Tribolium castaneum: one gene and its partners. The protein of the gene in region 3 purifies or fractionates together with the protein of the main gene of each other region. This does not show direct contact. Links are inferred from orthologs where the notes say so. Each region holds a gene or a part of one and is shown on either strand. Other genes may lie near its edges.

Region 1 (2,548 bases), on a different chromosome or scaffold from region 3:
TTTCTTTGAAAGTCTATACATTTTTTTTAAGATTCCCTTAAAATACTTTTAATTGTCTTGAATGGCTGTATATTTTAATACAAGGAATTAAGTGTTACGTTTTTCTTTGGTCTGTAGAGATTTTTTTGAAAAATTGTGTCTAAGGTTACAATTATTTAGAAAAATTATGTATGTATGTTGTTAATTTTTAATATTTATTTTCAGTTCTCCAAGCACGCCGTCAGCGAGCCGCCCCCACACCCCCCAAACCCCCTCTCACAGCCCATACATCCCTGCAACAGTGAGCGGTCCCGTAGGCCAACCCCACATGCCTGTCATGATGCCGGTTGGCTACATGATGACAAGTCAACCCCAATACCAGCCCCCGCCACAAGGTAGCCGCGTCCGTAAAAGTAAGTCTCCACCCACAAACCACGCCCCTCAACTAATCAAACCAATTAATTTCAGTTCCGATGAGCCAAATGCGTACGGACGTCACCAGTCAAATGCAAGTCGCTGCGGCAACAGGTCAACCACTCCTAGCTCCGCCCATTCAACAATTCGTCTATCCACCGGGCATGAATCCGCAAGGATATCATCAAATGCACACCCTTCGGATGTACGAAACCCCGCCCCAAATCCAATACCTCCCACCCAATCCATCGAATACGCCCTCGCCGGCCCAACCGCCCCAATACACACCGGGCCAGGGCCCCCAGCCGCCGCCCCAACAGTATCAAGCCCCGCCTCCGCAAAGTCATCCGCAGTTTCAGCCTCTCATGTGTTCCATACTTCATACCCAGCCGCACATGATGCAAAATATGCAGTACCTGCAGCAAGCCCCGCCTCCGCAACATCCCATTCCGGTTATGCTCCCCCCACAACACCCACAAGCGCAACAGCATGGGCCGGCCCCTTAGCGGTAATCCACGTGTTGTGTTCTAGGTAATTTTCATTGGTCCCTAATCCCACCCACTCCCTACTCCCGCAAACGTTAGTTTTTTTTGTTTTTTTTCGGTTGGTAATACCCTACCTACGAGTGATTGTTACAGACGGAGTCAAAATTAATCTTTTTTTACTTTTAGGTAATTAATATCTATGACAAGTAAAAAATTTAATCAGTTGCTTTATCGTGTTGGTGACACTGTGGTGCAATTTTACCAACTTTATTAAAAACCATGGTAAAACAATCAATTTTTTTTTCATATTTTCTTCACCCATTTAATTGACTGTTAATATACCAAGCTTCAAAAAATTTTTTTCAAAGCGACTATTTATTATTATTAATTGTGTGAGAGTGTACAGCGTGTGACAGAATATAGGCGTATGGTACAGTAAGCGACCCATTTATCCCTAAGCTTGGATATTGACATGGTCCCTCATGACGTCTCATTCATTGCTTCAGTCGTCTGTAGTCCGGTTATTTTTTTGTTGTTTCAAAATTTTGTTGTTTTTTATTATTTGTTGTACGTTGTGTTGTTGAGGCATTTCTACTCGAACATTCATTCATTCCATAAGCAGGTCATCGTATTATTTCATTTGTTTTCAGCAATGAAAAAAAATCGTCCCTGTTGCGATTATTGATTTGTAAGATATGGGGACGATCCTACTTGAAAGGTGCCTTAAATAAAAAATTTGTGTTTTTTCATCACGTGCGATGCAATCTTTGGCACCTGAAACATTTTTCGATACTACGTGTTTCTCAAAAATAACAATGATTCAATTTTTTTTTGTTTTTTTTTGTATAAGATCAAAATTATTTAAATTTTTTATAGATTAAGCGATTGAATATTTAAAGCTGTGCAGAATATTTTTTAATAGATGGTCAACTCAGTTAAAAAATCTGTAGAGCTGTGAATATTTTCAGTGCACCATGTTGGTGCAGAAGTAAGTATTGTCAAAAAAAAGCAGAAAAGCAGTTAACAGTTGTATGATTTTCGCAAATAAAGTCACTTTGGTTTTATTTGTATCTGACTGTTTCATTATTCCCATATTCCTAGTCCTTGTCTGAAATATAATCCGGAAGTAAAATTACCGTTGGGGGCGCCCCTGAGCTAGGTCGAAAACAGTAACCATAAATGGCGGGAAAATGTTTATTCTAATATTTTGAGCGTTGTACGAATTTTGAGGCTTCACAATTATTGCATAGCCTCTGCGAAATGACTATTGTATTTTTGGTGCAATAAACGAATGTTGATAAATTAGAGATGACGAGGAAAACACAAATAACGAATGACTGGTTCATTTCCTTAATTGGAAAATAATTTTAAAGACATTGAAAAGCCTACCTTTTGGAACAATTTATGCTTAAATGTATCAGCAGTTGTTAATCTTAATTGTAGTTTTGTAGATTTATCGAAGTTTTTCATGATTTTTTCAGTGGAAAAATTCTAACCAAAAATTCACAGACTTCACTAATTTATTGGTTTCGCTGTATTCGCTGTGACCCATTGCTTATAATCTTTAATAACACTTTGTAATCAAAATTTAAAACTTTTTCACTTTTTATCCACTTTCAAATTCCAACAGTAAACACTTTATACCACGAAAAACCAAAGTCAAAGCTTTA
Region 2 (2,982 bases), on a different chromosome or scaffold from region 3:
AATTACACTTTACAACTGGGAAATATTTGAGGTTATCTGCGTTGTCAATGTCAACTTGACACACAACTGGTGTGCGTGACCGTAAATTTCCAGTCGCTTATTTCAAATAATGAAGGTAAATTTGTAAATTGGCACCGTCAAGTCAATTTACAAATTAAAAACAATGCAAATAATTGACTAAGAGTCACAACACATTGTTTTATGTTGTATTCATGACAAATTGTAATTTAATTGCAATTATAACGTAATTGGTCAACTGTAAAAGTGTAACTTAAGTTCCAATTTAAAGAGCCGGCTCCGGCTTTTTGACAAGTAATTTGTAGGTTATACATACATTTCAAATTATGGGGAACAAGCAAGAGGAGAGTTGTTTAGCTTGTAAAATCACGTCAATTTGTTGTTTAACTGCAATTGGTGGTTACCTCATCTACCATGGCAAACAACCAACACAAAAGTACAAATACTCGTTAACTTCTTTAGGACTAGGTAATTAACACAAAAAGTGCTTCACTAGACATTTATTAGTGTAATTGCAGGTTGTGTAGCGTTAGGAGTTGGAGAAATATTTGATAAATCGCCGTTTCGTGATTATAAGGAACAGAATCAATAAATATTAGAACTGAAATAAACACTTCATTTTCCGACTTTTCCCAGCTTTGTGTCAGTTTTAGGATTAGCTGTGATGTTTTGAACGGCCACAATTAGTTCATTGGCTTTCGTTTGCAAATCTCTTAGATCATGGATGTATAAAATTCTTAATACTTTTGCCGCTTGATTTAAAACAGGATCATTCAAATCAAACCCCAAGTCAGCTTCTTGAAAAGGAAAAGGTGTGCCCTTTAAAAACACATTTAGATTTTTGAGGCTTGATAACTACGCACAAATTACCTTTATTATGACTTCGCTTGGATTGGCTTGAGCTTGTGGCGACAGTCTTGTAGTTACAAGCTTTGCAACTGCTTTTAAGGTCACAAGCGGGTCAGGATGGGGCGTTATATTTAATAGTTGTGCCAATTTTGTAATACCTTCTGCAAATTCTTTACTGTGGACTGAAATTTACTAAAATTATTTACCGAAAAAATCGACTTGTTTACGTACAATCTAATTTATCAAGGGGATTTTCAGTGACAACAGTTGGAACATTAGTTGCCTTTAAGTTCTCAACTGCATGTTTAATGTATACTTCCCCTAAAACAAAAAATTATTTTCGTGTTTTGTGGCTACGACCAATATTACTATTATTATGAGTCTCGATTTGCACAGCATAACCTAAAAGCCACTGGAGTTGTTCTTGATGGCTCTGTAAATTGGGTACACCTAGAGCTTCCTTGTACTTTTGAAAATGGTTAGGCCAATCATTTGACGTTACGTTTTTAAGACCATTTGCCACGTTAGAATCAGCTTTATTAATTTTATTTAATTCCAACCATGCCACAATTTTTCTGAATGTTGCTTCGTCTAAAAATCAGTATTTGAAGTTAAATTAAAATTATCGAGACAACGTGATCACCGTTAACGTTCACATCACACTGTGGGTACTCTAATGCTGATAAGAGCCTTTTAACCATTTTTAATTATTCACGAGTGATAAAATAAATAAAACTTTACCGGTGCTGTCAGTGTCAAAATGTCAATGACCTTGTATGATTCCTGAGAAATCTGTATAAAAAGAAAAATTGTATGAAGGGTAATTAAAACTTAAGTTTTTTTTAATAAAAAAGTGGAAATAATACATAAGTGTTTATTAAAAATGCACATACAGTACAATTAATAAAAATTTCTAATAGCTCGTGCTCAGTCTTTTGTAAAATAAATATTCCTATACTTAAATGCCGCCAGGGCTAATAAAAACCTACATATTACTTTTTTTCTTAAAACTAAGTTATATCATAGGTAAGTGACATAATATACATACTATATTTTGTGTATAACACAACATATAACACCTATAAATAGTTAAATACAAAAATATGGTGGTAAACATTCTCTATCAATTGTCCCAAACAAAATCATTGAAATATTCTCTCAACTCAAACATATTTCGTAACTGATGGTGACAATACGCAAAAATAAAATCAACGGTCCGAAAGAATTTGTTAAATCATAAGTAACTTTCCAATAAATAAAAATAACAATCGGGATTTAATTTCTTTATCACAGGCAATTTGAGGCGACCAATAAAGACTGCAAAGTAATAACGGGTGTAAGACGTAGATAATTACAGAATCGTTGGTCTGATATTGATATAAGAAGAAAACGTAATACTTGGGTACAAATGTTTTCGTACCGAAATATTACTGCCCAAAATCCATCAGTTATAGGGTTAATATACTTGTTAAGTTTGGATATTGTTCAAACATTAAAATCACTAAAAGTCTACATGTTATACTTTCATTTAGAAATGCTGTTGACTATACATTTTGTAAATATTTCGTCTATAATATCCAATCAACGAAGTAAAAGAATTATCACTAAAATCGATATTAAATAAATATCACGCAACTTTCTGATAACAGTAACAAACAATGGCTAGTGTAGTAATCTCGGTGCTGAGATGCGCTGTCATGCTCTAGTTAAAGACTGTTCAACGTTTGAAATTGCATAGATAATCTGGAAGCAGCACAACCCCGCAGTAACAACACGTAACAAAAGTTTACACTAATAGCACCCAACATTATGCATAAATAAAATTAAAATAAGTCTAACAATAACTTAACTTTCAAATAAGAGTAACCGTGAGATATTGAGAGATTACATTTTGAATCGAATTTCCCCTTATGGCCCCAATACATATCAAATGCACTATCCAATAACTAGGTTGAAAAATGTCACAAAAACTTATTTGAGCACATTTACACAATTTCCAACAAGTAAGTACTTTTCATACAAAATCACTACTTAACAAAGTTTTTGAACATTTTTAACGCGATGGCTGAAGTCTCACTCAACAACTGCGCAAAAACAGAAACGATTAATTTGCAT
Region 3 (3,820 bases):
TGCTGGTAGGTCGCGAGCGCTGCGGTACTAAAATAATTCATTTACACGACTAGGCATAAAAGTTGATTTTTTATGATTAATGTCTGACGATTTTACAAAAAATAAAAGAACATCGTACATTTTCTAGTTTCTCAGGGGGCGTATTTTCGTCGAAAATATTAACAACGACCGGCCGTTGATCCCTTATCAGTTCGTTACAAATGTTTTCAACGTGATCGATCTGTTCTTGGGTAATTTTCGGTATATCTTTAAACATAAATTATTCAGAGCGTTCAAACCAAAAAAAAAAATACCTAGTTCAATGTACGACACTTCTTCTCCCAAGTACCAGGAGATTGTATCAAAGTTAAATTCTCTGATTAAAACAGCAGAGATTAAATGTTGGCCTGAATGTTGCTGCATGTGATCCAGTCTGCGATTCCAGTCAATGATGCCTTTAACGTCATCACCGACATTGAGCGGTTTTTCGATGAAATGGACAGCTTTGTCGCCCCTTCGTATGACTTGGTACACGGGTTGGTCGTTCAAAAAACCGTGGTCACAGGGCTGCAATTTTTAGTCAAATGGGTTATTAAAATGTACCGTTTGTTCAATTAAATTTCTGATCAAAGTGACCTGGCACAATGTTGCTAACTTAATTTCAGTCACTAGGACCAGAAAATTAATTGAATATGTGCACGAAAAATTAAAAACCTGGCCGCCCCCTTCAGGAAATAGAACAGTGTTCTCCAGAATGACTTCATATCCATTGATTTTAACGTTTTTGCCGTCAACGGTTGCGTCAAACTCGCTTTTTTCGCATGAGACTACTTTTGAAGTAAACTACAAGTATTTTTAATGTAACAAGTTAAAATTTGTTGTTTGGTACCTCTTTCAAAAAGCTGTCTTCCTGGCACTTAAACACCATGTTAGAATTACCGATCACTTTACAAATTAGTAAATTTTTGAGCAACTCTTCCGTGCTCTGGTTTGACAGTATGGAATTAAATTTTTTGGGTGTTTTAAGTGGTGTTTCTTAAAAACATATAAATGTGCGACTTTAATATATAATATTAAATCTAATAATCTATAATCTTATCGTGTTGTTCAAATAAAATAAAACAAGTCATCGGGGCCCCCACAAAACACGTTGCGACTTACGTTACGTTTTGACATTTCGTATTACGTTACGTTAATACCTCACTGTAATTCTCAATTTTGTGAATTTCCTAGCATATTTAATTTTTAACAACTACTTCGCTACAACGCAAATTGAGTTTTTTAAACGTTTTCCCCATAATAAAAATTTTCAAAAAAAAAAAAGTAAAAAATGTTGCGTTATTTTACGTTGCGATATTTGACAGCTTGACCACTTGACATTTTCGCAAATTGGTTAGAAATTCAATAACCGGCTTCAATCTCTATATTAGTGCAAAAGTAAGACATAGTATTAATTAATACAATGGAACAGAAACTCTTAGACGGACTGAAGGACCTGGGGTAATTATTTCCCAACCAAAAATTTCCAGGTCTAACTTGCATTGCAGTTATTGTGGCCCCCTTCTCGAGAAGGCTAGTTTTGATTCTGCCCTGCAGGAGGGAGCAAAAAACGTGGAATTCACCAAGCTAGTCAGTTTTTTAACAAACGAGCTACGCGCATTGCTTAATATCGATGAGGAAGTCAATCCAATATCAGGCCCTGAAGATTCAGTATCGTTTGTTATGGAAGTTAGTTCTTTTCTGAAAGAATTGAGTGCGGTGGTTTTGTTGTATTTTGCCAATTTTTTCACATTTAATGGTTACAGACTGCCCCTACGTTGCCTTAACACAGGGCCATATTTCAGACCGTCTGGAAAGTCACCAAGACAAATTATTACTTTTAGACTATTTGGCTACTGAACTGATGGCCGCAAGAGTACTACAAGAGAAAAAGCCCGATAAAAAATTTGAGCTAAAACTGGTAAGTAAAACGAAACGCAATTTTCAAATTGTTGATAAAGTTTTGCAGCAAGAGACTGAAGAAGCTGCCAATATGAGGAAGATATTAATGACTCTGAGGTTTCATAAACCGCCCCCAAACATTACTATTCCACAGTTATTCCAAAAAGTTTGCCCAACTGTGCAAAGTATTGTTCAAAAAGTTGGAAGTGAATTAGTTGGAAAGCCTGCGTTTCAAGGAACACTTTCTGATAAGCAGTGGGAAACACTAAATGGGGTTCAGAAGGATTTGAACAATGAATATAAAATTAGAAGAGAGATGTTGCTAACAAGGCTGGATGTTACGATTCAGTCTTTTCAGGTGGGCACTAATTTTAACATTTGTTCCATTCTTATTTATTACTTCAAAACAAATTTCATTTGCAATCTATACATAAGTTTCATATTCAATTGTTGTTGCAGTGGTCTGATAAAACGAAAGGCAAAGATGAGTTATTTGAAAAAGTTTACACCGAAAAGCGGAAACGCCTGAAAACGGAACCGGAAGTTGAACTTGCTGATTTATTAGCCGCACGAGACGACATTGCAATTATCGAAAAGACAAGTAACTCGTCTGTGCGCAAAAACACAAAATCGTCACTAAATAAAGTCATTATTGGACAGGTAAAACCATGATTTTGTTTAAGAAAAAAACACCAAAGAAAACTTTTAGGTTCCTGATCGTGGAGGCCGAACCTCTGAGCAAGCGCCGCCCCCTCCGGAGATGCCCTCTTGGCAGCAGCGCACGCCGGGGCCCTCGGGGGGCGGTCGAGGAAGAGGCGGCGGTAACTTTTCCCGTAACGACAACAGACAGAACTATTCAAGAGATTCGGGGAGTTACGGTGGAAGTTACTCTGGTAATCAAGGTGGTTATGATAATTATAAAAGCGGCGGTCGCGGTTACGACAATTATAACCAGGGGCGCAGTTATGACAGTGCTGGAAGTTACGGTGGTGGTTATAACAACCCTGGTTATAATAACGAGAGACAGGGGAGTTACGGCGGCGGCCAAGGCAGTTATAACGATAATAAAAGTAGTTACGATAATAGGAATTTTGATAGTGCAGGTAGTTACTCCACGAGCTATGAACAAAATTCGAAAAGGCCGAAAACTTACGATTCCTTTCAACAAAATAGAACGACTTATGCTGATCAGTATGTGCAAGAGGAACAGCATAATCAGCAGTATCACGGGAGGGGGAATTACAGAGGGAGAGGCAGAGGACACTCGAATTACAACAGGGGAGGCAGGAATCACTATTAAAAATTGTGCTGTATCATTATTTGCAGTTATTTGAAACTAGCACTAACACTTGAAAGATTGCTAATGTATTTAAATATTTAATAAAAGTACTGAATCGATATTGAAGTTTGATTTTATAGTATTTCCATTTTCATCCAAAACAGTTTCTAGAACTGAAGAACTCACTTCCTAAAGCTAGTAAATTCAAAAAAAGGTAAAAATTAAATGCGCCATCTATGCAATAAAGCCAAAAGTAAATTAAAATTGTTAGTGTTGCCATCTATATGTTGGATGTAAAAGTACAATGCTACAGTAATCTGTAATGTTTTAATTGCCATCTATACGCTTTAAATTAAAGCTAAAATATAAAGTAACCTGTAAATTTAGCGCCATCTATTTATTTTTAATCTAAGCTTTAGTTAATAATAACCTGTAAAAATTAAAGAAAAGTGTCTTCTCTTGCCTTTCGGATTTATTAATATTTTGAACTTAAATATGGGACACTTTCTGTTGTCGTAGCGACTTGAAATTTTGCATGCTTACATAACTTTTGAAGCACTATTACGTCATGTACTTCGATTCCCGATTTAAAAATGTGCAGTGCTATCTCGGTTCCTGAGG

Evidence for each region.
Region 1: the proteins of protein FAM98A (region 3) and ataxin-2 homolog purify together in Homo sapiens (co-immunoprecipitation; 3 studies listed by BioGRID and IntAct, with this or other methods). This does not show direct contact. The link is inferred for Tribolium castaneum from reciprocal best matches to the Homo sapiens genes FAM98A and ATXN2L.
Region 2: the proteins of protein FAM98A (region 3) and RNA transcription, translation and transport factor protein purify together in Homo sapiens (affinity purification with mass spectrometry; 4 studies listed by BioGRID and IntAct, with this or other methods). This does not show direct contact. The link is inferred for Tribolium castaneum from reciprocal best matches to the Homo sapiens genes FAM98A and RTRAF.

What each region holds. Positions count from the first base shown.
Region 1 is NC_087401.1:8,009,814-8,012,361, forward strand, and holds the end of ataxin-2 homolog, read left to right. Parts: intron 1-204; coding exon 205-392; intron 393-447; coding exon 448-899; 3' UTR 900-1,948; downstream 1,949-2,548. UniProt on the Homo sapiens protein: Involved in the regulation of stress granule and P-body formation.
Region 2 is NC_087396.1:19,110,418-19,113,399, forward strand, and holds RNA transcription, translation and transport factor protein, read right to left. Parts: upstream 1,655-2,982; 5' UTR 1,569-1,654; coding exon 1,511-1,568; intron 1,459-1,510; coding exon 1,237-1,458; intron 1,189-1,236; coding exon 1,099-1,188; intron 1,050-1,098; coding exon 889-1,049; intron 838-888; coding exon 634-837; 3' UTR 504-633; downstream 1-503. UniProt on the Homo sapiens protein: RNA-binding protein involved in modulation of mRNA transcription by Polymerase II. Component of the tRNA-splicing ligase complex and is required for tRNA ligation.
Region 3 is NC_087394.1:32,799,414-32,803,233, reverse strand, and holds protein FAM98A, read left to right. Parts: upstream 1-1,308; 5' UTR 1,309-1,441; coding exon 1,442-1,479; intron 1,480-1,526; coding exon 1,527-1,732; intron 1,733-1,784; coding exon 1,785-2,278; intron 2,279-2,379; coding exon 2,380-2,580; intron 2,581-2,629; coding exon 2,630-3,220; 3' UTR 3,221-3,318; downstream 3,319-3,820. Other genes in the region: alanyl-tRNA editing protein Aarsd1, read right to left, coding at 1-27, 119-246, 294-546, 694-822, 869-907. UniProt on the Homo sapiens protein: Positively stimulates PRMT1-induced protein arginine methylation. Involved in skeletal homeostasis. Positively regulates lysosome peripheral distribution and ruffled border formation in osteoclasts.